Linked DNA regions of Oryzias latipes. The protein of the gene in region 5 purifies or fractionates together with the protein of the main gene of each other region. This does not show direct contact. Links are inferred from orthologs where the notes say so. Each region holds a gene or a part of one and is shown on either strand. Other genes may lie near its edges.

What was found.
Region 1: the proteins of pagr1 (region 5) and histone-lysine N-methyltransferase 2C purify together in Homo sapiens (affinity purification with mass spectrometry; 3 studies listed by BioGRID and IntAct, with this or other methods). This does not show direct contact. The link is inferred for Oryzias latipes from reciprocal best matches to the Homo sapiens genes PAGR1 and KMT2C.
Region 2: the proteins of pagr1 (region 5) and paxip1 purify together in Homo sapiens (affinity purification with mass spectrometry; 6 studies listed by BioGRID and IntAct, with this or other methods). This does not show direct contact. The link is inferred for Oryzias latipes from reciprocal best matches to the Homo sapiens genes PAGR1 and PAXIP1.
Region 3: the proteins of pagr1 (region 5) and ncoa6 purify together in Homo sapiens (affinity purification with mass spectrometry; 3 studies listed by BioGRID and IntAct, with this or other methods). This does not show direct contact. The link is inferred for Oryzias latipes from reciprocal best matches to the Homo sapiens genes PAGR1 and NCOA6.
Region 4: the proteins of pagr1 (region 5) and wdr5 purify together in Homo sapiens (affinity purification with mass spectrometry; 5 studies listed by BioGRID and IntAct, with this or other methods). This does not show direct contact. The link is inferred for Oryzias latipes from reciprocal best matches to the Homo sapiens genes PAGR1 and WDR5.

The regions. Positions count from the first base shown.
Region 1 is NC_019875.2:25,398,258-25,402,766, reverse strand, and holds part of histone-lysine N-methyltransferase 2C, read right to left. Parts: coding exon 3,434-4,509; intron 3,157-3,433; coding exon 2,962-3,156; intron 2,528-2,961; coding exon 2,363-2,527; intron 2,277-2,362; coding exon 2,147-2,276; intron 2,062-2,146; coding exon 1,914-2,061; intron 1,838-1,913; coding exon 1,653-1,837; intron 1,527-1,652; coding exon 1,390-1,526; intron 1-1,389. UniProt on the Homo sapiens protein: Histone methyltransferase that catalyzes methyl group transfer from S-adenosyl-L-methionine to the epsilon-amino group of 'Lys-4' of histone H3 (H3K4).
Region 2 is NC_019875.2:13,221,741-13,226,249, reverse strand, and holds part of paxip1 (PAX-interacting protein 1), read left to right. Parts: coding exon 1-301; intron 302-2,435; coding exon 2,436-2,548; intron 2,549-4,319; coding exon 4,320-4,509.
Region 3 is NC_019865.2:14,784,596-14,787,959, reverse strand, and holds part of ncoa6 (nuclear receptor coactivator 6), read right to left. Parts: coding exon 2,196-3,364; intron 2,016-2,195; coding exon 1,968-2,015; intron 1,844-1,967; coding exon 1,813-1,843; intron 1-1,812. UniProt on the Homo sapiens protein: Nuclear receptor coactivator that directly binds nuclear receptors and stimulates the transcriptional activities in a hormone-dependent fashion. Coactivates expression in an agonist- and AF2-dependent manner.
Region 4 is NC_019870.2:23,024,572-23,029,646, forward strand, and holds the start of wdr5 (WD repeat-containing protein 5), read right to left. Parts: upstream 3,248-5,075; 5' UTR 3,057-3,247; intron 2,421-3,056; 5' UTR 2,397-2,420; coding exon 2,316-2,396; intron 2,121-2,315; coding exon 2,012-2,120; intron 857-2,011; coding exon 783-856; intron 661-782; coding exon 571-660; intron 1-570. Other genes in the region: bromodomain-containing protein 3, read left to right, coding at 3,613-3,636.
Region 5 is NC_019877.2:7,654,216-7,658,870, reverse strand, and holds pagr1 (PAXIP1-associated glutamate-rich protein 1), read right to left. Parts: upstream 3,144-4,655; 5' UTR 2,888-3,143; intron 2,637-2,887; 5' UTR 2,607-2,636; coding exon 2,435-2,606; intron 2,354-2,434; coding exon 2,026-2,353; intron 1,945-2,025; coding exon 1,856-1,944; intron 1,781-1,855; coding exon 1,545-1,780; 3' UTR 1,218-1,544; downstream 1-1,217. Other genes in the region: kinesin-like protein KIF22, read left to right, coding at 3,782-3,972, 4,049-4,176. UniProt on the Homo sapiens protein: Its association with the histone methyltransferase MLL2/MLL3 complex is suggesting a role in epigenetic transcriptional activation. However, in association with PAXIP1/PTIP is proposed to function at least in part independently of the MLL2/MLL3 complex.

The DNA.
Region 1 (4,509 bases), on a different chromosome or scaffold from region 5:
TCATTATTTTGATGTTCTTAACATCTGACCTCATTTCCTGCATCTTGCCCTCTCTTGTTTATTAGTTGTTGAAAGATGATTTTGAAATTTGGTCGATAATTATTTCGCACCGCCTGATTCGGCTTAAAAAAATTAACTGCGTATAAATGCCTGTGACTGAGGTCAGGTCAGACCTGTTACCCTCACGCACTGGCAGATCGGTGTAGGTACCGTAACCATTCAGCCTGCAATAACCGTTCGGGGTCCTTTCGACTGAGGATAACGTCACACTATGGTAACCCCACTTGGACAAACTGCGTAGCGTGGAGATCTGCTCGGGCTCTACATATTTTCATTGCACGTTTCCTTTTGTAACCCAAAGTTCTTTTCCCTAATAAGTTGTGTCTGACATTATTCTTTGTAATATTTATAGAGAGATTTTGCCACAACCCACTTTGTAAAAAGATATGTGGCTGTTAGAATGATGAACCTGCTGCTCCACACAAGCGATCCATGAGCAGCTGGAGTCTCGTAGCTTCCTGTTCACAGGCAGGGAAGGTGCTTTGTTACGGTGAGCGGTCCGGAGAAGGGTTCGGACCGCATAATATCTTCTTCTATGGTAGTATCGTAATTTGTCCAGACCAATCACTATCTGACACGTCATCGGACCAACGGACAGCCAATCACATAAGGTGACGTCAGCACTAGTCGAAGGACCCCGAACGGTTATTGCAGACCGAATGGTTACGGTACCTACACCATCTTCTTCTCCAACACAAACAGATTTTTTGCCAACGACCGTGCCAACAATTTTCAATTAGAGCAGGAGGACTAACTGGCAATTTTGGGTTAAATCTGTCCAAAAAAAACTTTCGGTATGTCTTTTTTTGAGACTGCGGTTATAGTTTTCCCTCATTACTGCAGGGGTTAGGTTCCATAAATAACCTGCAATAGGTGAAATCCGCAAAGAAGGATAACAGATATTTTTAAGGCTGTAAAATTCGTCACTACATACTTTATATACTTTTCTCAGACAGACATTAAACAACAGAGAAAAGTGTGAAAAATCTTAATCTCTCAAAATTCCAACCTTCATAGAAAAATAGGTCTAGTGTTATAGTATAAAAACAAGATCTCCATGCTAATGATGATGATTTATTTACATAAATGGAAAAAAGTGGAAAGCCGAGTGGACCCTGCACAGGAGACACGGCACGAGGAGATTGATTGACAAAGTCAACAGCCAATCAGGATGTAGAACAGTGCGCTGTTAAAGAAAAAAAAAAAGTGCAAAATTGCACTGAAAAAGGTCTGCAAAACAGAGAGATAGCGAAAAGTGAAGTGCGATGTAGCGAGGGAACACTGTATTTTACATTTGAGCTTCAGTCTCAGTGAATGTTGAATCCAAACCTCAGCTGCAGCCGGCCTCAAAGTGATGGCCACAGACACCAATCCTTGCTTAGAATCACTGGACACGGGGCCAAGCGGAGAACCGAAGAACATGAAAGACGGCTCAGTCTTGATATCCTGGAGTTTGATCTCTGACCCTAAAGAATAAGAAAAGAAATTGAAGTTTAAAAGGATCCCAATCCTGTTAGGCTACAATAAACAATGGGACACCAGAGAATCTTTGACACAGGTTTCTAAAACAAAATTAGGTAAAGAGTGTTCACCTTTCCCATCAGGGGCAGGAAGCAGGGGGAACGCAGGGGACAGGCAGGGGGAAAGAGGCTCTTCCTTCACCAGGCGCAGGTCTGGGTAGCGGCTGATCTCCATGCCAACCACGCTCTCAGGAGATGAGGATGGTACAAAGCTGTCAGGTGTGTCTCTGTCCTTGCAAGCCTCCTGCCCCCTGTTACTGTTTTCAAACATAAGGTCAAATGAAGCAACTTCTAACACGTTAATGTGGTTTCGAAAAGTTTCCACTGGGTTACCTGAGCTCCTCCTGGTTGTTGTGAGGAGGGGTGGGAAGGGAAGCTGGAACATCCACAGTTTTGGGACCCTGAGCAATGGCTCGAGCAAGAAGATCTTCCTCTGGCCTGAAGGGGACATGCAGGGGCTTTGGCACCAGCCCTTTGGAGACTGCGTTTAAAATAACATTTCAATAAATGACACATGAATTCTATTCATTTCTTCATAAGCATTAAAGGCTTCAAAATAAGCGCACCCATCGCAGCAGCTTTGCTGGCCAGCTCCTCAGTTGTAGCAAATCCATTGATCATTTTCTGCCGACTCACAGGTGGTGGAGTGGGAGGAAGAGATGCCGGAGGTGTTGGAGGATTGCTCAAGTTACTTTGCTGTAAATTAGGAACCGAAGCCAGAGTCAGAGACAAGGTGATGCTGTTGTGATTACAGACTTCCCTGTGGTGTAAACACATCTCACCTTGTAGGCGAGCTGGGAGTAATAATCAGAAACTCCGTCGAGCGAGGCACTGCCGAAAGTACCAGTCAGGAGGTTTTCTCCATTGAGCTGCCCGCTTCCATAAGGAGCAAAGTGAGCAAAGTTTACTCCAATCAGAGGCTCCATGAGCGGCAGCAAGGAGAGCTGCTGTGTTTAGAGAAACAGTTGAGACAGAAATAAAAGACTTTAAAAAAACATGACAGACGCACCTACTCGACCAGTCATAGAAAAATTAATTTTCCTTATTATTCATTTGTATACAAGTCAAAGTAAAAATGGGTTAGGGTAACAGTTATATTCCATTTTGACTATTTTTACTAAACTTATTTGGGAAACTTTTACATAAAAACTGAAGTTTTCTTTATGCTCTTGGATTAATATTTAATAATCAGCAACAACTTACATGTAATAAATATAATTTTATAATTGCATTCCTCAAAAAACAAACCTAAATAAAAAAACCTTAATGAGAGATTGTGTGAGAAGCATTCATGAAGTGTCAAAAAGTAGTGAAGTAATTCTAAATCAGATTTTTTTTTAAAGATTTATTAAGAAAAAGAACTTCATTGAACATGTCTTACTTGCTTGATCTGCGTTATGACTGTGTCCGAGCCAGAGTGCATCAGCTGCCTCTCGTCTCTATCTTTCTTCCTTTTCTTGTAGCGCGAGGCGGGTTTTTCTCCTCCTTTCGGAGGTCTCTTGTTCCGCCCCTTCTTCTTCTCTTGTTCAGGCAGCTGAGGCCCAGGAAAGTCAGAAGTGCCATCGGAGTATGCCTGCTGAGGACGAAACAAATACGTTTTACAGATAAACCGTCTTTGAAGATTCTCAGTCATCTAACAGGATTCTGCTCTTCAGGCCAACTGGACTTTAAAGATGATAAACTTAAAATGACTTGTGAAGCGGCTGAGTTTTCCAACAAAAATGCTTATTAAAACAGCTATGAGTTGCATCAATTTAATGAATTTAGCATTTGAGCTACATTTTTTGGGGAACTATGTTCGTTAATTGAAGTTCTCCAAGTCGTCTATGCTGGAACAAAAAAAAAACACTGACCCCACTGCTGTCCATGGAGCTCTGTCTCAGAAAGCTTTTGCAGTCGGGGGTTTCCCCCTCCTCAGAGCGAAGGCTTTCCTCTGACCTCTGGTGAGACAGAGCAGGTGGAGGTGTGCTCTTGTTCTTTAAAAGATGTTTGAGTAGCTCATTGCTGGACTCGCCCTTGTTTGGACTTTGCTCAGCAGGAAATGGGGACACGCCCCCTTTATTCCCCTCTTCCTTTACGGAGCTCATGTCTGAGCAGATGGATCCTTCCCTTTGCCCGTGACACTCAGTTGTTTCCGTCTTCTCAAGTTTGATGTTACTCAGTATTCTGTCATGGTCCTGGACCTGGGTCCTGGACGTCTCAGAGGGCAAACCATGAGGTCCAGACTGGGCTGCAGAAAGCTGCTTCTCAAGCTCTGTGTGACTGGGAGTGGACGACCCCAGTAAGGGGGACCTCGACAAGTCCTGCTCTCCAAAAAGATGAGTGTTTCTTGTTGGAGTTGAGGAAGTGTCAGAGACACAGGGTGTGAGGGGGGCTGTGAGGTCCGAGTGTGGCGTTGATGGCGTCTTGACTGAATCTGCGTCATCCTCCTTCTTTTTCTTGCGATTCCGTTTCTTTTTGCCTTTCTCGTCTGGGATAATGTTGGAGTACAGCTGAATGAGCGACTGACCCGAACCTGGAAAGTTGGATGGAAGGGGTGTGGCTGTGTCACCATCAAAAGGCGGACCCTCTGCTGGCATCAGTCCTGGTCCGCTGAACTGACGAGGCCGCGGATGACCATGAGGAAAACCAAGTCCCTGAAGGGGAACATTATCAGGCCCCACATCAGCTGCCATCATCCCATTCCCCATCATGCCTCTCCTATCACCCTGAATGAATGTTCCAGGGGGCGAGCTGATGCCATGCTGCATGCCCTGCTGTTGAGGAAACATTGGACCTAATTGATGCGATTGCGGCATAGAGGGTCTTTGAGGCTGCATGAAGTCTTGTGGCAACTCAGAATTAAAAAAAGGCATCTGGGCGAGTGGTGCCATGTTTCCATCTGGTCCCATCATCCCTTGCTGCTCCATTTCCATGCGATGTTTCAGGG
Region 2 (4,509 bases), on a different chromosome or scaffold from region 5:
CGCAAACCGGAGCGTCGCAGCGAGCGGATGTTCGACGATTCTGACGATGACTCGCCAACCGAGAAGGAGGGCACCAACTTGAACTGGACTCCGGCGGAAGTTGTCACTCCCACAGCTCCAGTTTCAACTGGCACAGCCAGGCGGCGAACCGGCCCACCTGGTATCAGGGATCTGGCTTCGTCTGCGGGGAGTGGCCTCATCAACCTGTGTTCCACTGTGCCTTCTGTAGCAGGGAGCGAAGGAGCAACAACTGCAAAGACCGGCTCTGCCGCCGCTGCCATCAATCAGTCCACGCAGCAAGGTCAGTAAAGCCCCGCCTCTGATGACTGTTTCCATCCTGTATTTGTGTTTTCAGCATATATATGAATTTTTCCCAAGTTTACCTATTTAGAAGATGACATGTTTTTGTTTCAGATAAATATTTTGATTGACAGTAATGCTTTTTGGGGTATATTGGTGTTGGAAGCCCAATTGACCTTTGATCTCTTGCAGTCTGTATGTTCAAAGATGTCATAGGCGACACTCGAATAATACACGCTCTTTGATGTACATCTGTCCCCTACGAGATCCCCACTGACTGTCTTTCCAGAAAAACTTTCCATCCCATAACAGACTCTGGTCGGCGTTCACAGCTTCAGACACGCCCCCTCCGCGCGTTCACGCTGCCCTCTTCCTCCTGCCCGCTCGCACTACCTGATGGTGTTGAAGGCACCACAGCAATCTTGGAACATGGTGGTTATTTTACCAAACCACGGAGAGCCGCTACACAGGGATGATAGAGCCGCATGCATCTCCGGTGCCGCCGGTTGCCGACCCCTGGTTTATGGGATGAAGGCGAATCAGCCGATTCTGACGCCCAGAAAAGCGGCTTTTCATATCGGCTTTGCACAAATAAATGACGCAAGGCTGCTTTCCTCCATGACAGAATTACTTGATTTATGTTGATCTCGGAAGCACTTCATTACCATAGGGTGTGGCATTTTTCTCCTCTTTGGAATCCGTTGGTATTGTATTAATGGCGTCAACGGATGTAGAGTTACAGACGTAGAAAGAATGTGAACCAGAGCTCCAGTGTAAAAGGGTTCATGTCAGTCATATGGAGAGCAAGCAATCAATGCATCAAAAATGCAAGCTTTACTGAATAAATAGTTCCAGGAAGAAAAATATCTAGATTTTTACGGCATGCTCTTTGAGTCCACATCCTTCATTCACCATGGCAACCGTAAAACCTGTTGTACAACAGCCAATAAGCAGCGCAAACCTGCAATGACCAGGAAATCGTACAATTGATAAATATTTGATGTATTGTGATCCTCCATGAATGATTGATTTCAAAGATGAGATGATAAAAATACATATGTTTGTAAAATCTATTTCAGATATTCATTCATAACTTAATGAAAATGAATAGCAAAGGATGCTATCTTCTTGACATTATAATTGCTCTCTTTTTTTAATAATTATTTTAATCATTTTGATAATAGTTCTAATAATATTTTTATTAATTAGTTTTAATAAAAATTGTTAATAATTTGATATGAATGTCCTTTTTGATGTTATATTATATATATTATTTCTGAATGTCGTTGTTGCTGCTGCAGATAAATGAAATTTCCCCATCGTGGGATTAATAAAGTCATCTATAAACACAATAGCACACAAGACTAGGGTGTGACGAAATATGGGTCTGAATGTTCATATTAATAATTAAAGTACATCATTGTGAATTTTTAATTCCACTGAGGCTATTTGATATACATTTTAGTTCATAATTGGAGCTTTGTTCATTAGTTATCATTAAGTGTATGTTTTTATTACAAAGACACAGCAGTATTTATTGATCATTTTATTTTACTGTTGCAAAGGATGGTTAAATTCATATATTGTGTTTTAAATTGTTTAAAAAAAAGGTTTCATCGAAAATAAAGATATATTTGTTTATATAATAGTGGTATATTAGATGATCAAGGTAACATTGATAATTGCAATATGAAATTGTGATCCATGTATGGTGAATCACGTCGTATCGAGAGTCACCCTGAGATTCCCTTCCCTGCACATGATGCATTGAATCCATTAAATATGATCCCCCAATAGAGTTTAAGTACTTAAATAAGGTTTTGTGAGTCATGTGACCGACAGCAACACAATACTTTTGCATTTATAATGGAGAAGCCAGAATTACACCACAAAAGTGGCCTTTTAATCTGAAAGTTCATAATTGTTGCTAAATTTGCTAAAAGATTTTAAGGATTTGTCACAGCTACAACCCTTTATTTTAAGCCATATTGAATTTGTTTTAATAGTTGTGATTGTGACGCCCCTCTTCTATAGGGATAGATGAAAATGTAATCCTTTGGTGATGGCGTGGCTCTATTCTGAGAACGCTTGCATAGGATTGAATTTCTTTTCCACCTTTCATTTGTTTTCTGTAGGTGTACCGGTTCCTGAAGGCATTCCTGGATGGAGTACGGCCATGATAACCCTCTGCAACATCACCAATGCCTCTGATGTGCAGACTGCCAACCGACCACCCAACGTCGCTCATGTAAAAAGCTTCTTCACACACACTTACTGCTGCCCATCTCCATCTATCTCCTCTGTGGTTAATCCTTCTAATGCAGTTGGGAGGACTCTGAGTTCAGTTTTTGGTATTTGCCAAGGGTGTGTTTGTCAATGAACGTTGTCGTGACGATGGATGAGATTATCCACCTTGAAGAGTGACATGATGCCTGAAGAATGGAGTAAAAGTGTATTTTGAAAAACAAGAGGGACGTTCTGAGTTGTGGAAACAGAGGAATAAGCTGATGAGTCGCATAAAGAAGTTATTAGGAGTAGTGGAAACTAGACTGAAGTCAGACATGAACATTTATGATCAACAATATGGCTTCAGGCAAAAGAAGACAACAGATGCGATGGAAGTCTGGAGTGGCAGGAAAGTATCTATCAGAGGAACAGCTCATGATGGATGCTATGGAGGTGGATGCCAGCAAACAGATTGAGATCTGTGGGCATGTTGAGAGGAGGATCAGTAGTTCTGTTGGTAAAAGGTGATAAGACTGGAGTGATATGTGGGAAAAGAAAGAAGGTTCATGGATGTAATGGAGGACATGACGGGGGTTGATGTCGGGGGAGGGTGGATAGAAATGGATGGAGGCTGTTGATTCACTGTGGCGACCACTAAAGGGAGCAGCAGGAAAGTCAAGAAGAATCATTCTGACCACTTTGGTTTAGTAAACAAATGAGTAATTCACGATCAGGATTTAGATTTGGTGTTCTATGGTGATGGGTTTCAGTGACCTGCACTTCATAACCATCATTCAATGACTGCAGCTGAAAAAAACAGTTTTTGAATCCCAGCCTGGCAAAACGTTTGCTCCACAGGGTTTGATCAGGCCTTAAGTTCATGGTTGTCAGTAAAAAGGCCTTTAAAGCTAAGGCTACATGGGGGTGTCGTGGTTAGCTCTCTTGCCTCACAGCAGAACGCCCTGCTTGAAATTCCAGCTGGACTTGGCATACTCTCCTCGTCCACGTGTGGGATTTCTGCGGGGACTCCAGCTCCGTCCCTCTGTCCAAACACATGATCCATAGATAAATTGGTGATTCAAAATTGTCCCCAAGTGTGAATGTGTGGACCTGAAATAGACTGACGACCTGCTCAGCATAAACCCCCCTTCACTCAACAGCAGCTGGGATAGGCTCCAGCAACCCACTGACCCTGAAAGGAATGCATTGGGATCTGAAAATGAATGAATGGATGGATGGGCTTTTAAAACTAGGGATGGGTATTGTTAAGATTCGATCAATACTACTCCTCTTATCAATGTGGCATCAATCCGGTATTCTTATTGATACTTTTCTACGTGAAAAACAGGAGGGAGAAGACAAATAACAAACCATGTACATGAAAACCATTTAACATTGCATGTCGGATACTTTATTGTTACAGATTATACTGTTATAATTTTACACCTTATAGATCATATTATAAGGTATTATTATTATGGTCTGCGTCTGCATCAAAATTGACAGTAAATGCTGTCGTTGTTTGTAAACTTGGCTGAATCTGAACCTGAAGTACTTTTATTTAACACTAAACTTGAGTATTACTAACTTTATAAATGGCATTAACTTCTGACAAAAGTCACACAAAAAAGCATCAGAAAGCAAGTATCATCCTCCTCAGTAGCTCCTGCTCCACTTTGTTCAAAAGCTATTTGTTGTCATGCGTTCCTGACAGCTGATTTTCCATGAGTGGTGGTTAGTCTAAAGATGCTTAAGTTCTGTTTTTCTCAAAGTATTTCTTTGTCTCCCTGCAGATCATCCAAAATCTCGCAGGGAATCAAACGAAAGCTATGGAGCCTCAGACCAATCAGAACCGCCTTCAGACCCCGAGCAATTGCAACCCCGCCGCTTTTAACCACTCCAAGCTGACAGGCCAGTCCGTCACAGCAGAGCAACAGCAGCAGTTGCTTCAGCAGTCACACCAGACTGCCCAGCAACACCACC
Region 3 (3,364 bases), on a different chromosome or scaffold from region 5:
GAAAAGTAAAATGACTGTAAACAAAATGTCTCATTTTATGGCATCCACTATTAAAAACAAGCAACAGTTTAAAAAACAGAGAAATCATATTCCTAAAAAGAAAGCAGTATTTCTTCTTTTTGACATAAAATCCACACAAATAATTTTTGAAAAGGACATATTGGGGATGTCAAAACAAACCTAATTCCTTCTATAGAGGTGCAAAACAATAAGAAGCAACATTAACAGAAAATATGATATGTATGGTTAATACAGCTTTGCTTAAATATTACTCCAACCGAATCTTTTGTGAATGGAAGGTTAAACATTATTATGGTGCTGAATGTATTTTGTTACTTAGATTCTGAAGTAACAGCTACCTTACCTTCTTGTTAGACATCAACATAACACTGAGAGTCAAGTATAAACATAACTCAAAGCGTTTCCCTAACCAGACAACTGACTCCACTAAATTGAAGCCATACAAGGTGCTATCAAACAGTTACATAAATAAAGCACTTGGTTATCTGGTTTCTGTGTTTACACTGTTGAAGTTGTGCTAACATTAATTTGTAACAGTAATAAAAATCAAAAATCATTCACTGCGAGGCTTTAAAATTAATTTAAAAGACCCTTTCAGATGAAAAAACTTGCTTTTTGGTGTTTTTAAAATTCTTGTGGCAATTTTCTGATGAGGACATATATAAAGAATAATAAGATTAAAATTGTACTTCTGTGTGTCTTTATTTCAATCACTGTAAAGCAGTGGCAGACATAAAAATCTGCATTAAAAAAGAGCTAATTTGTGAAACAGAAAATAGTGAGGGGAATGCTCTGCGCCAACGGTCCTGCCAACATCTCAGAAGCAAATTTCTAATGAACTACTGCTGTCCAAGAAAATGACAATTTTATAATTAAAGGATGCTTTTACAATTGATCAAAAGATTATTGGAATGGGTCTTTAGAAATTTAGCTTCTAGTGAACTAAGGTCAACTGAAATGGACTTTTGCCACCAAAATTACCTGATGAGGAAGAAATGAGTTAAAATAAGCCTGTACCACATCAGTTCTAACCACAGGTCCACATCATCCCCCCATTTGAAAGGTACAACCCCCGCAGATCAGAAACAGTTTGATCCTGGGTCACTGGTAAATAAAATAACTTCAGTCTGCCAAAAAGTTTCAGGCTTCAAAACACAAATCACAAAAACAAAACTGCTAACAGAAACGGTTAGAAGAAAACATTATTTCTATCTGCATGATGTCCATCTGCCCTTAGTAATAAATAAAATATGATACTACCTCAAGCATTTGCAGTGCAAAGCTTTTACAAATCATCCTGTCAAAAGTCAAAAATAATTGCCCCTATACACCAAACCAAGTTTAAACATCACTTGTATTATTTTTTTTTTAGAGCACAGTATTGACTCTTCCCTGTTAAATTTCATGGTACTCCTTTGATTTGCTGTTCAGCACAACAAATAAACATAGAAGATAAGTGAACCTGCAGAGCTGACAAGAAGGAAAAATGATTAAAAAGATTCTTTTTTTCTATTATTCATTCTTGCTGATTTTTAAAAGGTGCCCAAAAGTTGTGTTGTGTGGCTACAAGTAATCAAACCCTGTTGAAATTTGTCATCAGGTCAACGCAATACACTTCAAAAGTATAGGATAGGCCATTTTCCCCCCATAAATTAACAGTTATAAGAAGTAATATGACATGACACGATTTGACGTCATGACAAACGTTTGGTGTGTAAGGGATTAAATAGTCACCTATCAAAATCTCAGAGCAAGAAAACAAAACAGAAAAGATTCTGTTAGAGATCTTACGGTTGCTCAGAGCCTGTTGTTGCTTCGTCACCTAAAAATAAAACACAAAGACAAAAACATTTGTATGCCAGATAGGTCAAGGTTTTTTGTTGATCTGTAGATGGTTATTTGGTCAATGTTTTTTATTTCATTAGCAATAAAAGAAAGATAATTACCCATCTTCTCAGAGGAAACAGGTTCTTGTAGAATGTCTTGTTGTAGGGCTGAAGGTGAATGGAAAAGATAATAGCACAGCTAAGAAAATTGCAAAATCTCAAATGTTTGTGAAGCAAAAAAGTATGTATAGAAATGTAATTAATTGGTTTTATGAAGTAATTTAGTTGTACCTTTTTAATATTTAAATAACATTTGCTCTGACTTGGAACATGCTTAAAAGTTCTTACCAGGGCTGATCCGAGTTGCTTCAGCAGATACTGCAGCTTGTGGCGTGGACGGCTCAGCTGTTGAAGGGTCTGACTGCACCGACAGGACTCTGCTGGGATCAGCAACTGGTGATGTATGAGTCGCCTCAGCAGATCCAGGTGCAGCAACAATTGGAACAACAGATGGTACAGTACTTTGCACAAGAGTAACCGTTGATAGCAAGGCAGCAGATGAGACTCCTGGACTAGTACCAACTACAGTTGGCATAGGAGCTTGAGAATTTACAGTTGAGTTTGGGAGCGATGTCGTAGGAAGCAGAGAAGTAGGGCCAAGAGTCTGATTAGGAACAGAAACCTGGGTAGAAACTGGGACCGGTGAAGATTCTACAGGCAAAGGATTGTTTGTGGTACTGGCAGTAGTATTGGGTGATCGTGCTTCAGTCGGGGTAGCTAGACTAGCAGGTGGAAGAAACACCTGTGGTGGCCCAGCCCCCATAAAACCCTGAAGAGACTCACCAGTGCTGGAAACAGGAGCTGGTCCAGATTTACCTTTTGCTTGGGTAGGAGGAGATGGTGATATGGGGCTCTTACGGAAACTGCCAACAGTTCCAGAACTGGAACAGGGAGGTGTGGACAAAGGTGTCTGAAATGGGGATGATGTTGTAGCGCTTGAGTGGGGTGGAGGTTTCCAGAGTGCAGGATTAGATTTCTGAGACAAAGTGGTCTCATTTTGACTTTCTGCTTTTGTTGCTCCTGGGTTGGTTTGGTGAGAAGCTAGGATAGCACCAACTGGAGTTGTGGATACTGCATTAGTAGCTACCTGAACCTGTCCAGCAAGCGTTCTATTGGGCTGAGAGGGAGCTATATTAACCCCTGATGGCTGTGTGGAATTTAGGGCAGGAGAAAGTTGGATGCTTCCAGTAGGCATTTGGATAGACCCTACCATGGTGACTGACTGAGATACTACTGAGTTATTAGGAGCCACAGAGGAGCCAGGAACCTGGAATATTGGATTAATAAATACTGGGGTTGTGGTGATAAACTGAGGTGGTCGAGGGCCAGGACTCTGCTGTCGGATATCCTGAGATCTTGAGTTTTTGTTGGCAGCAGCCATCATGGTGGACACCATCGATGTGGGGGTAGAAGTTATAGGATTGGAGGTGACAAACACTGTAATCTGGTTGGAGGAA
Region 4 (5,075 bases), on a different chromosome or scaffold from region 5:
AGCATGTCCATGTTTTTATATATATTATGTATGTAGTGGAGCCTTTTTTCTGTAAGAGACATACGACTGCTACTGTTGTGATTGCTGTGTTGTCAGAACAAAATCCTTAATAAAAAGTTGTGTGGGGGGAAAAAAGCTCACATTGCTTAAAAATACAGACTGGAGAGGAAATGGCCGCTTCTTTGTTCAGCAAACTGTCAACAGCCGCAAAGCATCATATAAACAATGTCATCTAACACTCAAGACATTCATAGGCTAAAGCAGCCGTCTCCAACTGTGTTTACTTTATACGAGTGGATGAATCTGATTAAGAAAAGGGTGACTCCAAAAAAATGGCAGCAATAAAGTGGCATGAAAGCAGCAAAAATAGCTGTTAACAAAAATGAACAGTCCAAGATGCCTCTTCTCTGCCATCCTGAGTGAAGGTGAGTGAATGCTTGTACAACCTTTTACCCAGATGTCATTACTTAGGAAATTAAAAAGGGGAAATATACTAAATTAAAGGGTAAACAAGAATAAGTGCCAAAAAAATACGTTTTGGCTCCTAGAACAAGTGCAGAACCTTCTTACCGAGTTGACATCCCAGATTTTCAGGGTTTTGTCGTCTGATGCAGACACCAGCAGGTTGGAATCAGAGGACCAGGCCACATCAGAGATGCCCTGCAGGATCATGGGAAATAGTTCAGACACATAAGAAGGAGAAGGGCGCTTCTAAAATCTATTCCTCCCACAGGAAATCCAGAGAACATATCAGAGCAATATCAGAGTACAGTTTTACTCACAAGTTTGTGTCCAGATATGGTTTTCTCAAACTTGCCATCATACGCTCCCCAGATCTTGATGAGTTTATCAGCAGCTGGAACAAGAGAACATCAGTCAAATCTATGAATTACTGTCATCACATCAATTATGAAGCCAACACTACACACAAATGTAACACAGCATACAAATTGATCCAAATGACAAGTTTAATACATCTGATAAACAGAAAACTATATTTACTAGATTAGAACATTCTACGTTTAATTCTAATTTGGTTCTAGTTTTCTCTGATTATTTCTCCTTGACAAGTTCATTTTGGGGCTGGGGGCCTCAGTGAATGTTAACTTCTTAGTTCAACGTGTTCCCCACCTCCACAGCACAGAGGCACAGTGACGTATGTTAGTTGGATGGATTATGGGATATTGGAGCATCAGTGAACAGCACTTTATAAGTTTCTATTTTTTGGTTTTCCCAACAAAACTAAACACTGTTGGTTCAGAAAATAAATCATCATCAGTTTCAGCATGAAACTGTCACACTTTACCATCTTTAGCTGATATCTGTCAGTTTATATCCTCGAATTCCAACATTATTCTGCTGATTTAGAGTGATAATTACAATGCGTGAAGTTTATTTGTACTATATTCTACTATATTTATAAAGACAACAAATATGCCCAAACATTGTTCTTGAAAAGATAGAAAGATTTCCAAGTATTTGGATGCTGGTTACAGCCCTGGCATTGTCTTACCCTTTCACCCACCTATTTCATCTCTGAGACTAACTCTGGAGGCGGATCGGAGAATGGAACAAAATATGACACCATGGTGAAATGGGCCTTTTAAAGTCCAACGTCAGGGCAAAAAGCCAAAGGGGCAGAAAGGAATAACACTACTAAAGTGGCTTTAGTAAAAAAATATATATGTACATAACTACTTCACATGTTTTGTTCTAACAATTAATCCGAAAAATCATTTGAAATAAACTCAAGATTCCTAAATGTTTGTTTTTTTTCTCTCTCTTTTTTTTTTTACTTGTCCTGTCCAACAGCTGGGCAGGTAGATGAGAGCTGACGGCCTCTTGTTTAGATTCCTAAATGTTAACATTTTGTAAACTCTACATAGTTTTTTTTTTTCATTGAGTAAACTCCCTTTGAACAGGGTCAACATCAACCAATATAATGGTTTCATGTTGAGTACATTTTGAGACATTCATTGCTTAAAAGCCACACAGAGGAGGATGAACTCACATGAGCTGGCGAGCCATTCTCCACTTGGACTGAATTTGACAGAAGACACGGCTTTGGTGTGTCCTGCTAACGTGAACTTCAGGCTGTAGTTTGGCTTTGCAGGCGCAGACTGTGGGGGGGCACATTTAATGCCATTGGTAAGATAGAAAAGAAGTACATATCAACTCTGCTAAAACAAAAACCAAAATGCATTGTTCACCATTTAATCTTGTATTAATTGGAAAACAAAAGAAACAATTGATGCAAAGCTGCAGTTGCACAAGAACACGGCCCAGAGTACTCAGTCATTTTCTTATATCCAGACCTTGCTTTGGCTTGCAGATGCTGACTGCACAACTGGAGGTTTTGTGTCAGTCTCTGGTTTCTTGTCTTCGGTTGCCATCATGAAAAAAATAGCATCTACTGAGCACTGCAAGGAGACAGAAGAGCACACAAGTATTTCAAATTACATGCTTGCACAGCCCCTTCGTCAAATTTATTATACTCTCGTTTATAGTTTAACGTGTTGTAGAAATATTTTGTTTATTAAAAGGTAAAGTTGATGCATACAATTGCAATGTAGATTGTATAGCCGTATTGGCTAAATTAAGCGTTTACAAATTAGCTCGATGGCTAAAAATTTTAGCTAGCTCAGTTAGCTTCGGTACGCTGACGTATAAAAACTCTTTTTTCTTAACTGGCAAAACAAAAACATCGCGAAGTGGCATTTGATGTACATTAAAGTCAGCTTCCACATTTTTAACGTCAAAATGTTTACCATAAAGAAATAATAGGTGAAAACAGCATCATATAACAAAAGCGACGCGGAATACCTTCCTTTGGCGCAACTTCAGACAGACTTTATATATTTGTACTTGAAAAAAAGACGCGTTGCATGTTCAAATGGATATGAAATAGACGTTAAAAAATATAAAGTGCTAGATGTTCAGGAAAACTATCAGCACTATGTACATGCGGTCACTTGTTTTTAGCTATTGACAACCTGCCACAAAAGCGGCCCTCTACTCCTCAGACAATGAAGATTTACGCAAACGCTCATACTTACAGAAACGTTTTACAGATTCACCTCCAGATTTTTTTCCTCCACCGAAGAAAACACGATTAAAACCAGTCTGTTTTTTCGTAATATGATCCTAAACTTACAAAAAACTAATCTACCTGCCTCCTTGTATACGTTTGGCTGCGAGAAAACCAACGAAGAAACGAGGGAATGTAGTGTGCCAGTGCAATGCGCAGGCGCGTCACACACAGAAGTAACGGAAACCTGTGAGGATCAAGTATCGATGGCACGAGTTAGAATAAACGTCACAAAATGCAGTTTTCCCTTAAGACGTAAACATTTTGCAATTAATATTTCAATTTACCAGAAAAAAAGTTAAGTGAAGCAAAATATATAATTCTCTTTTGATAATAGTATTATCAAAAGAAAAATATGTCAGTGCAAAATATTTGCGTTTTTTGCCAAATGAAAACAGTGGACACTCCAGAACACTAGATGGCAGTATTCCCCTTTGACTTCTGGGCTGACGTGCCCAGACAAATAGACACGAATTGAATTGCCAGCCATGTAGGTGCAGCAGGTCGGGAGAGGAAGTTAGCAGATGGTGACTGACTTCGCCGTGGAGGTACTTGAAGCGCATACTTTTCTGTTCAAGCTTCGGTGTAAAGTTTTACTGTTTTTGAAGAGGAGCATTGCTTGAACTTTTATTCCAATTTAACAATACGAGTTGGTAAACAACTTGCCGCTACCCTCCCTTCCCGTTAGATGATGATCGGAGTTTTTTCTCGAAACGGATTAAAAAGAAAACTTAGGTGATTTTTTTAAATTGCTTAAATACCTGATATATATTATGACTAGTTAAAATAAAAAAGTCAGACTTTTTTTTCAATAACATTTTATAGCAGCATTTTTAGGTGTTGCAGAGTTAAAGAAATAAAGGATTTTCGTTCACCACCAGGCAAGAAAAACATTTCATTTGTGCACAGACTAGCTAATTATGATAGCTAACACGTTGGACGTTTCTTGACCTCGAAGAAAATATTGGTATTCATTTGCATTGTCTCTTCAGGAAGTCTGTGTGGTTTGACAAATAATTTTTTACAATAGTTGTTGGAAGTAACGTTTTGGGGACTACGCCTCCATCTGCTAGGATACAAAGCCCTTATTTAACTGAGTAAAACTTTGAGAGTTCGTGCACACGTGAAGCATTTCAGTATCCAGTAGAAGGCATTCCTCGCGCGTGTCCAACAACAACAGGGGTTCTTGTGGGTTAAAGTGATAAAACACGCGGTTTTTGTCACGTCCGCCCACTTCCGCCTGGCACGTTCTGCAGTTCTTAAAGACCCTTTCTGAGGAATGTGAAGGAGGGAATCTGCTGCAGTGGTTTTGGTTTGCTTTCATGGAGCTGTAGCTTCCCATGTTTACATTTTTAAGTTGGTTAATTACTCCAAAATTCACTTTTTATTTGTGGTTGTTTTAATTTTTATTACATTTTGCGTTTTTTGATCTTCTGCATAGTGGAAACATTAAAAAACAAACAAAACAGTAATAGATTACAACATTCATTATTATATTAAGGATGAATTAAAAAAGCATAAAATATCAAGGGCTGAGATAACTAAACAATTATGTACTTATAAGTTTACTACATAAATGAATATATTAAGCTGTAAGTTTACAATTCTGGAGGAATATCTGTGAATTGTCACAGAGGTAAAGTTAGCTATATATTCATACGATATAAAAATTCTTCTAAAGCTTTTAAGTCATTGGACCCAAATCCCTCTAGAGAATAAAACAGATTAACCACTATCAGTGACAGCTATTTAGATAAGCTTTCGAGTTTTTTTAGTGTCAAATTTTGTGTTTTTCTGCAATAGCTTTTAATTTATTGAACCCAATCACGCCAGATCTCTCTAGAATAGTAAAACGGATTGACCAATATTGGAGACAGCAGCTCACATTAGCTTTTGATGCTTTTTCTAATTTTAGTAAATTTCTTAGTCTAACGTTTTGCACTTTTCTTCAATAGCTTTAAGTTATTAAACGTTAAAAGTTATTAAA
Region 5 (4,655 bases):
CTTTTACCCCTTAAAAAAAATAAAAAAATATTTCATGCTGGGAAGTACGGCACAAAGTATTGATTCTAATATTTCACACAGCTGGAGGAAAGTTAATTGTGGAAATAATCATGCAGGGATGAGTTCCCTTGCTGCTAAAACATTTTATTTGAGTGTTTTTACCCATAAAACCTTCGTATTAGGAACTTCAGAAGTGGATGAAGCGCCGCCTTGGTTCTTGTGCCGTTAAGGTCACTGGCTCTGTGAACAGAATAGCCCATTTCTGTCATTTCATGTGCATTTGCCACAGCCTAATTGTCCTGAAAATTGATCCTGAAAGATATAAAAGAGCCGTCTAATCCGCTGCTGAAAACTTGACAGGGTACTGTTCACCAACGCATCTGAGCATTTCAGAGAAAACACTCCTTCCCCGATTCCATAACCTCATGAAATACTGCTTCTTGACAATATTGAAACATTGGAACTGATGTACTGTATATTCCACAAAAAATGCTTGTTATTTATTTGTAAGTATTTATTTATTTATTTGGTTTGTGGTTTTGAATGCATATTTATGCATACATATTATACTCTTTGCTTCTGAGCCTTATGTGGAGGCTGTATCGTTACTCAAACTTAGCTAAAATATACTTCTCTGTCCTGAACCTGTCTTGAGTCCTTGATTTTTTTTTTAGATTACAATTGCAAATATTTGATGCTTAAAAGTTTTAATATAAAAGGATTTGGGTTAAGCTCCAACGCAGGTCGGCCACCGGAGGGCGCCAGAGTTTTGCCATGGAGAGAATTGATGACCTGTGCTTTTTCACCTATTAAAGCAATAAAAATATATAAATATTGAGGAAAATATTGACATTATTGGAGTTCCGCTGAGGATAAATTGAAAAAAAGTTTTAAAGCAAATTATTAAAAGATCAAAATTTCTGTTTAATCTCCAAAAAAATTAAACAATGTGTAAGACAGCATCAAAAAGTAAGAATTTCCAAATTTTCGTATTTTTATGGCCTAAACAGGCTAATAAAATGTTTTATATTTATGTAAATTTGTCAGCTCATTTTGTCAAATGAATGTTTCTTTAGGTAAAAACAACTATACATTTTTATTCATTCAAATCTTTATTTAACAAGAACATTCTAAAGAAAATAAATCTTTAGATTAAAAAAAACATTGTTTTTAACAATCCCCCACCCCTCTAAAAAGAAACACCAAAAAGGGCTTGCTGAAATTGCACTTGAACACCCTTTCTTCTGTATTACAACTTTATGGGGTCTCATAGACTTTAATAGTCAATAAAAAACATTTATTTGAACGATTCTGCATCCAGAATTAACAAGATTTGACAGGAAGTACTTTTACAAATGGAGACTCAGGGCAAACCTGCATGAAAAGAGCGTATTTTATAACAAAGCTAAACATCACCAAAGCCCAGAAATGAGTCCATTTTGACATTTCCTAGGATTAAAAAATTATTGCAAAAATACAAAAACACAATTCATTACATTAAAAAGAGTTCTGCAAAGCCTTTTTAAAGCTCTCCTTTTGTGTCTTCAGTATCTCCTCTGTCGTGGTGAGAAGATGGTGTTGGGGTTGCTGTCTCGCTCCCTCTCCTTATCCCGCTCTTTCTGACTGTTTGGGGAGAGGGCCTCCTCCAGCTTTTTCTCGTTCTTAAAGAAATCCCTCCCCGTTCGTCTAATGTGCTCCTCGATTTTGCGATGGCGCTTCATGTCGGACAGCACTTTGTCCAGACGAGCTTCTCTTTTCACCGTCGAGCGGCCGGAGGATCCTGGAAAGCGACATCAAACTATTAAGAAATCTGCAATCTTGAAACATTAACATCAGTCTGATGAGCATTTCCCACCTGGTGTTCGCCGTCGATTGATGAAGGCATTTTTCGGCGTTGTCTGCATATTCTCTTCATCGAAGTCGAACTCGGTTGGAGATGGAGGCCTGAAAAAAAATCAAAACAGTATTTTCTACTCAAAGCAAAGTAATACAGACAGTTTGAGTTGAAGAAAAAGGGCTACTGACTTCCGCTCTCTGTCTTGCCTCTCCCTTTCCTTCACCGCCTCGTCCTCTTCGTCTCTCTCAGGTGAAAGGGAACGTTCAGGTGTGGGTGGTCTTCTGGGGAGGGGCTCAAAGTTCAGTTCCAGCATCTGCCCTTTAGCCAGCAGCTCGTAGAGTCTTTTAATTTCCAAAGGAGGCGGCATCCAGTTTTTGGCGTCCTCCATCTCCTCGTCGCTGTACGGAATCTCCCACTCCTCTTCTGCAGCCTGCTTCCCCTCCTCAGCATCCACCCCTGTGTCTGCTTTAGCTGGATCGGTCTGAGCTGCATCTTCGGCCGCATCTGCGTTCTCCTCTGACAAAGCAGAACAAACGTTCACTTTCAGATCAAAACATGCCGAAACATCTGCTGCATCGTGTCCCAAAACGCAGGTACCAGCTTCCTCCTGGGCTGCTGCGTCCTCTTCTTCTGCGACGGCTGTTCTGTCAGTGTCCTGTTGGTCCGTGATGATGTCCTCTGTTGTGTCTGCAGCGGGTTTCTCTGAATCCTCCACGTCCAAAGCCTGGATGCCCTCTCTGAGGGAGGTGTCTGAAGCTTCCGCCTGCATCCTTCCCTCAACTGCTCAACTTCCACAAATCTGAGCAGCACAAAAACTAGTCACCTTTTAGTTCTCGTTGAATTCAAAAATAAATAAATAAAAACAAATCACAAAAAAGATTTATCCTTAGGGATCCGTTAACACACGTGCTCTAATAATCACTTGCTCAATTTAAGGAAAGTGGCATAATTCTTGCTGGGTCTTAAGTTCTTGCTAACAAGCTAACGTCAAATGTAGCACACAAATCTTTAGAAACAACATTTTTTCAATGAAAGTCAGATCATCGTTACCAATATTTTGTGGATCCGTGTTGCTGGGGGTTATAGGCTTATTACGAAAATCCCACGAATAATGCAGTCACGAAGGTATAACAATCGACTCTGCAGAAACGTAAACATAGCGCCATTTTGGCTGAAGGAACCGCTTGACGGTCTGCTTGCTTTAGCCTTACAGCAAAGACTGTACAATCCAACTGATTAAAATGTATGTGGATGATCCACTCACGGCGCGCTAAACCGGGAACTGTGAAGGTCGACAGTATAGAGATCTAGCTATGACGCTACTTCCTATCATGCGCAGTCACATCAGGGAAATTATGACTTTGTAATATTTTTTTTTATTTTTGCTTTGAACGTTAAAATTCGTAACGTATTATATATTATTCTAATTTTACGTTTACAATTATATATTTAATGTGTTAATAAGACACTGTCTAATAAAGCAATATGTCGCGAGCTCTGATTGGTTAATGTCGTTTCCGGTCGAAGCTGTCTTGGATTTAAAAGTTTTCGGTTAGAAAGTTTTCGGGGCTGCCAGCGCCATTATTAAATGGAGGTACTTGCGCCATGGTAAAAGTGTGTTTTTAACGACACAAAAGGATTCTTGAAAACGTAAGTATCGTTTTGTAAGTTTTTATTTATAAAAAGAAAAGTTCTAATCGTGTTAACCTTAGCTGTGTGCGAAAATAACAACATAATGCTACCGTGCCCTAGTTGGCTAGTCATGATGGGCGTTGGTAACAATAACAATGTGGTGTTTTAACCTGGATAGGCAATAAAATACAACTTAATCTTGGCGGGTTTGTTTCTATTTATGGTCAAAGTGCCTTTAAGTTGACTCTTGGGTAACTTTTAAAGCAGTGATTCTCGTTTGATTTCGGGCCTTTGTTTTTCGAAGAACACAACATGGCGGCGCAGCGCGTGACCGTTTCATCAGATGGAAACAAGAAGATTTCAAGAGTTCGAGTCGCGGTTCGTCTTCGGCCCTACTTAGACAAAGAGGACGAGAAGGGCGAAGGGCCGTGCGTGCGGGGCCTGGATAAGCAAAACCTGGAAATAGTCAACTGGAGGAATGCAACAGAAACCGTCAAATACCAGTGAGTCAGTCTCTACATGTATTCTTTTTTTTGTGAATGTGCGTTTTCCATTAAAAGTTCGTGCTTTTCTTCCCAGTTTCGACGCTTTTCATGGTGAAAAGACGACACAGCAGGAGGTTTTCCTCTCATCTGTAAAGCCCGTCTTGTCCCACGTATTGAACGGACAGAATGCCAGCGTGTTTGCTTATGGGCCCACTGGAGCTGGTAAGGTTACGCCTCACATTCATTCATTCTTAAAATGGATAAGAAAGTTCTCTTTATTTATGCAGCACCTTTCGCAAACGGAAGTCACAGGGTGCCTCAAAGGTAAAAAAAGAAAAAGTTTTTTGTTGACTTTTTAAAATAAATCAGAGTCCAGGGACACAATGGGAACTCATTCCAGAGTTTAGGAGCAACAGCCTGGAAGGATTTGTCTCCTGTGGTCCAGAACCGTGCGCGAGAGACCACCACCAAGTCCTGATCCACAGACCTCAGTACACGCAGATGGTCTATAGGGGGCGATCAAATAAAAAACATATGAGAGAGCTTGACAATGGAGGTCCCTAAAAGTCAAAACTAAGATTTTCTATTGAAAGCCGTAAGCAATCGGGAGCCAATGAAGAGTTTTGAGGATAGTGGAGATGGGGTCAAGATCCTCGCAGCAGAGTTTTGGATCAACTGCAGGCGCGACAGCTCCACCTTGT